Macaca fascicularis: one gene and its partner. The protein of the gene in region 2 purifies or fractionates together with the protein of the main gene of each other region. This does not show direct contact. Links are inferred from orthologs where the notes say so. Each region holds a gene or a part of one and is shown on either strand. Other genes may lie near its edges.

Region 1 (2,596 bases), on a different chromosome or scaffold from region 2:
TCTCTCAACTATTAAACCTCTGCTCTTAAACTCAAAAAAAAAAAAAAAGATTTTCAAAGGACTTCTACTTTTAGGAAGATGATTTACCAGTGATCCCTGAGGATATTATAGTCTGCTCATTTCTTCTCTAAATTGGTACTTCATTCCTTGGTTATCATTTTTCTATACTAGTAATAAAAAATGATGTTTCTGCAGCCCAGGAGGAGCCCCAGAAGTGTCCACCCAGCTCTGGCCTCCTCCCATCTCTCCTCCCCATGCTTCCCCAAATGCACTCTTCCCTCAACCATCTTTTCACCCACTCACACCCACACTTTCTCAGCAGCTGCACACAACTCCTGGGGTGATGCGACCCTATCACACCACAAGCACAACAGATGTGCCGCTCCCCAGCACAACCATGTTCACTGCTTCCTTCCTCAGCCTGCCCTGTGAGAGCAAGAGCAGACAGAGCAGGGCTCAGTGAAGTGAAAGGGACTGGCGGCAGCCCCGACACTTTAGACACAAATCTTGCCTGTGAAAGTGCTTCTTAAAACAAATCACATCAAAGGTAAGAAAACCACCACCAGCAAGTCAGATGAGCAGTTATGTTCCAAATGTGATGGGTTTATTTTATTTTACTCTGATGCAAAACCAAAGATTCCACTATAGCACAGAGACCAATATATTACAAGGTCATGAAAAAATGGTGTGGGACATGCAGGACGTGATGTACAAACTGGAGGGTCAGATCGTCTCCTCTAACATGACACTACACTGTCGCTGAGGAACACATTTAATAACACTGCAGAACTGAACTGAAACATGGCACAAACATGACAACTTCCAGGCATGCCTTCAAGCGCCTCCCTCAGGAGGGATTCGCAACCCCTAGACTTCAGTGTGGGGAGGATTACAATTCTTTGGAAGAATAAAAAGTTCACACTTTTGAAATTTCACAGAAGAATTTTAAGGCCAAAACACAGTGGGTTCATTTCTCTTCACTTCCAGGGACAAATCTGATGCTTTCCTCAAACCACATTAAGCTTCCAGTTCAAATCCCAAGCCAACCTTGTGACCTCCTGCACTGAAGTTCTTCCCATCGATTAAAGCTGATAAAGTCAATTTGACTCCTAGGAAGAAGAAAACACCACAATCACTTGTAACAAGTAACAATTAGATCTGAACTTTCTAGAAACAACAGATGGAATCAATGGTGTGGATTGTAGCTGGGTATAAGAGCTATAAGCAAACAGCTATTACTCAATCGGTTATTTATAACCATCTGATGTGTAATGAGGAACGCATGATCATGGCAAACTTTCTCTGAAGTTCAGGGTTAAGGGCAATGAGTGATCAACCAAACTCAAAAGGCCAGAGTGACCACATCATAGTCAGAAATACATACTTTTTTAATGAAAAAGTATTTGATCTGTTTTGTTTTCTTTCTGAACAACCAAATGTTACAAAATGGTCCGAATCAACTTACAGTGACTATAGGTTGTTCTGCAGGTTATTTTCATTTTTTTCCTCTATCGCTTTCCACCCCAGACCCTCTGTTACTAATTCCTTTACTTACCTGGTCGAAGGGTCTGAGTATAACCCAGTCCAATCAGGCTGGCATTATTTACTTTAGCCTAAGATTAAGAGATAGAATAATAACATAAAACAGTGAATTACAGATCAGTCCAATACAACTATCACTTTGTGCATCAGGTTTCCAACGCTAAAAGCACCCTAGGGCCAATCTGGAATTACTGATTTTTTTTTTTTTTTTGAGATGAAGTTTCGTTCTCGTTACCCAGGCTGGAGTGCAATGGCACGATCTCAGCTCACTGCAACCTCCGCCTCCCGGGTCCAAGCCATTCTCCTGCCTCAGCCTCCCAAGTAGCTGGGATTACGGGCATGCATCCCCATGCCCAGCTAATTTTGTATTTTTAGTAGAGATGGGGTTTCACCATATTGGCCAGGTTGGTCTCAAACTCCTGACCTCAGGTGATCCCCCGCCTCAGCCTCCCAAAGTGCTGGGATTACAGGCGTGAGCCATCGTGCCGGGCCAGAATTACTGATCTTTAAAGTCAGCAGGACTTGTATGGGTGGGACGTACCTTAAGAATGCATGCTTCAAGGCCTCCAGCAAAATTTTTAAACACTACACAACCAAACACCCTGAATTCCCTGAGATACCAGCTGACAATCTCTCACAGTGGTTACAGCATGAACTCGGGTGACAGAAAAACAGATCTAGGTTCAAACTGTGGCACTGCCAGTTACTACGTGACCTTGGGCAAGTTAGCTGACCTTTCTAAGGCTCAGTTTTCTCATCAGTATAACAGGGATGAGGATAACACTACTTGCCACATGGAGTGGTTGTGAGGGTTAAATGACATAATATACGTAAAGCCTTTAGCACAGTACATGAAATTTAAGAGCTCAGTGTTATTTTTAATAAGAGTTACTATAGCAACAGAAATAGTCATCTAATCTCATGAATTTCCAAGTAAGAAAATTCTAAGGCCAAAGTGATAAAATGACTTGAGAAGGTCAGACAACAAATATACAGGAAGAGCTTGGCACAGAAGAACCCCTATGTCCTGACTTCAAGCATAATTTTTTTTTTT
Region 2 (3,917 bases):
CTAGAAGGCTGCCACATTTTTGGCTCCTGTCCCATTTTATAGATGAAGAAAGTGAGGCACACAGAGGGAAAGTGGCTTGCTCAAGGTCACACAGTTATCTGACTGCCTGGGGGGCCAGTCGCTCCTGGCCTTGAACACGCTGCCTTGAAAAACACAAAAACAGCCGGGCACAGTGGCTCATGCCTATAATCTCAACACTTTTGGAGGCTGAGGCAGGAGGATCGCTTGAGCCCAGGAGTATGAGACCAGCCTGGGCAATATAGTTCGACCCTGTCTCTACAAAAATTACAAAATTAGCTGGGTGTGGTGGCACATGCCTATAGTCCCAGGTACTTGGGAGGCTGAGTTAGGAGGATCACTTGAGCGGGGGAGGCAGAGATTGCAGTGAGCTGAGATCACACCACTGCACTCCAGCCTGGGTGACAGAGTGAGATGATGTCTGGAAAAAGAAAAACGCAACACCTACCTACTTTCTACCTTTCTGTTAATTATATTTTAATTTTCCCACTCAGGCCCCAGCTGCCTCCTCTCAAATTCTGGTTCCAGGGCACCTCCAGCAAGTCTTGGAATCCAGACAGCAGAAATATGCAAGGTCAAACACCAGATGGGGTACCTACCTACCAGCGGCAGAAATCAGCTACAATTACACCCAAGCGAAACCCAGCCACCTGACAATTTCTGTGGCAAAAAAGTCCTTAACGAAGGAAAACAATAAATTAATTAAAATTTTTAAAAACATTACAACTGGACTTCGTGAATCAGTTTAAGATAAACAAAGCACACCCCAAACACACTCATTAGCCATCAACTACCAGTTGCCATCAATAAAGTATGTCCTGATACAAAATGTCATGGATGTTCACCCTGTTTTGCCCCCTCCTCAATGCAGAAGAAAATAAACAAGAGAATATTCCGGAATTCACAGCAACCCGAACCCAGATCACCATGTGAATCTTTGCAAAAAATAATCTTGCTGTTATTACACCTGGTAACAAGGGATCCACAGGTTTTCCTCTCCCTGATAAAAAAAAAAGTTCATTTGCAAAGAGGCTCCAATCACTCCCAGACCCTGAAGGCAAAGTCCGTGTTCTATTTCCACCCCTGGGGTCACTCTCCAACCCCAACTGGCTTAAAATGAGAGACATATCAAAATGTGGTAGGTTATTAAACATAATGATACCCTACTAAAAAAACAAATAAACAAAACCAAACCCTCCAATGGGGCCCTGGAGGATGATTTTTCAACATTCCAAATGCAGCCTTCAAGGAAAGACCCCCAAAACAGGACAAGAAAGTATTTTCGGATGCTAATCACCAGCTCCTAAGAACCAAGGCTGTTTCTCCTAATTCCTAAACAAAAGAGGAGAGAAACAGTCGTGTCCAGATTTGCCTACTGCGTTCACCAATAACCAAGACAGCACGAAACAGAAGTGCCTTCCTGGAACAAAAAGGCAAATCGCATTACGGAGAAGCTGAAGCCCAAAAGACTGAGGCTTAAACCACAGAAAGTGGACTCCAACCCTGTCAGGCTCCGCAGGCCACGTTACCGAAGAAAATTTGCCAGGATTAAATCCCCAGAGAGGAGCTCCACGTGTTGCAGGGAAGGGAGGGCAGCACCACAGCTACCAGGGTCCTGGGCGTCCTCAGCTGCACCCCAAATGTGACTCGAGCCGAGGGTCAGGTGGGGCACGTCAAGGGTGAACACCCCCCTTCTTCCCTGGTTCCCCCAAACTTCCCCCGCACTATTTAAGCAGAAAGAACAAAAGAACAAAAAAGACAAAGCTAGGTAACCACAGAAGAGTAATGTGGCTTGTACGACAACTTCGGGGAGACAATGAAAGTCCCTTTCTACCATCTAAACCCTCCCCAGCTCACCCCATTGGTCACAGACTATTTTTCGTGAAAAGGGGGGACCCTAACCACAAAAAAGATGGGAAAACAGACGGAGAGAGACACCCCCTTCCCGCTCCCCATCTCTAGCGTCCCTTCCCTGGAAGGTTGTTTTTAATTAGAGGCGGGAACCCCAAAACAGGAAGGCCTCCTCCCGGAGGTTCTGGCCCGACCCTCCCCTCCAAAACCCCAGGACTGGGCACGCGGCCCCCCACGCTCTGCTCCGCAGGAACTGAGTCACCCAAGTTTTCCTCCATGCCTTGCACCCCCGAAAGGGGCTGGGCCGCTGGCGACGTGGGAGTCCCGGGCCCCAAAGGCCGGACGCAGAGCAGGGAGCGGGGTGCCCCAGGCGGCTGTGGGCCCGGTGCTTTCCGTCCCCGCCGGCCTCCCTCCCTCCCTCCGTCCCGCCGGCCCCATGCGGCCCCCCGCACGTACCCAGAGCGGGTCGGAGCCATCTGCGCTGCAGAAGCCCCGGAGCGCCATGCGGGCGGCGAGGGCGGCGGCGGGCACCGGACGGCGGGTGATGCGGCCCGGCTGCTGGCGCGGGCGGCGGCGTGCACCGGACGGTGGGTGATCCGGCCCGGCTGCTGGCTTTGGCTGCGGAGGCGGCGGCGGCGGCGCAAGGAGCCGGGTCCGGGGCCGCAACGCCGCCTGGTTGGCCCGCGCGTCACGGGGATGCAGCGGCCCCGCCCCACCCCGCCCCGCCCCGCCCCGCCCCGGCGCCCGGCTCACCTCGCGCGTCTCGGCGTGGGCAGCCGGACCCGCAACCTCTCGGCGCCCAGGGCCTGGACGCCGCGCCACCCCCACCCCGGATCCTCCGAGGCCCAGGCCCACTCGCTTGCGGACTGGCTCGGGGAGCGTTGGCTAGTCTTCCGGAAGCGCCTAGGATCTTTGGGGCCACACAGCCTGCGACCACTTTTCAAATCCTGTTTAACGACAGTATCCGTAACCAGGGGAAAATAACGTGAACGGAGCCCCCTACCTGCCTGGAGTGTGCTGGGCGCCTTAGCTGCGCCCTCATTTCATTCTGTACTATCTCCACGTTCATGCAGGAAGAAACCCAGGTGCAGAGAGGTTGAGTGATGATTCCCCCTGCCCAGGGTCACCTGGCTAATCATTTGCAGGGCTGGGATTTGAACCCGGTCCAAAGCTGACTCACACAGAAGGAGGTGGATACTCTTATTCACCTACCTTTTACAGATGGGGAAACTGAGGTTCAGAGAGGCGAAGTGACTTGCCTGAGGTCACACAGTTAGCAAGGAGTGAAAGTGGAAGTGAGATTCAAACCCATGAGCAGCCTGATTCCAGAGCACTGATGACCCAGAGGGCGTCAGTCTCTATCACCAACAGCTGTTGACCTCACCTGTGTGCAGAGCGCCTTTGCTTCTTCTCAACCTCTTTAAGCATCACTTAGAAATAACTAGGTTATTGATCCTCACCTCAGAGGTAAGGAAACTGAAGCCTGGAGACAAAATAATCATAGGCCAGGCATGGTGGCTCATGCTTGTAATCCCAGCACTTTGAGAAGCCGAGGCGGGCCGATCACATGAGATCAGGACTTCAAGACCAGCTTAGCCAACATAGCAAAACCCTGTCTCTACTAAAAATACAGAAATTAGCCGGGCATGGTGGCGGGCACCTGTAGTCCCAGCTACTTGAGAAACTGAAGCAGGAGACTCGCTTGAACCTGGGAAGTGGAGGTTGAAATGAGCTGAGATGGCGCCACTTCACTCCAGCCAGGGCAACAGAGCAACACTCTGTCTCAAAAAATAATAATAATAAGTAATAGGCATTCACAGTGACAAGGCTTCCTAAGGCTATGTTCTTAGCAATTTACACAAATTAACTGTGCAATCCTCACAACCCCATGAGGTAAGAGGTAGTATTATCCCCATTTTGCAGATGAGGAGACTAAGACCCAGAAAGACAGTAAATTGTCAGGGATTATTTAGATTGTAAGTCATTAAGCCAAACTTTGAACCCAAGAAGTCTAGCCAGGGAGGTCGGAAGTCTATAATACCATCTAT

Evidence for each region.
Region 1: the proteins of ABCC1 (region 2) and VDAC3 fractionate together in Homo sapiens (co-fractionation; 3 studies listed by BioGRID). This does not show direct contact. The link is inferred for Macaca fascicularis from reciprocal best matches to the Homo sapiens genes ABCC1 and VDAC3.

What each region holds. Positions count from the first base shown.
Region 1 is NC_088382.1:45,929,542-45,932,137, reverse strand, and holds the end of VDAC3 (non-selective voltage-gated ion channel VDAC3), read right to left. Parts: intron 1,614-2,596; coding exon 1,556-1,613; coding exon of another isoform or gene 1,552-1,555; intron 1,110-1,551; coding exon 1,018-1,109; 3' UTR 583-1,017; downstream 1-582. UniProt on the Homo sapiens protein: Non-selective voltage-gated ion channel that mediates the transport of anions and cations through the mitochondrion outer membrane and plasma membrane.
Region 2 is NC_088394.1:16,247,170-16,251,086, reverse strand, and holds the start of ABCC1 (multidrug resistance-associated protein 1), read right to left. Parts: upstream 2,537-3,917; 5' UTR 2,374-2,536; coding exon 2,326-2,373; intron 1-2,325.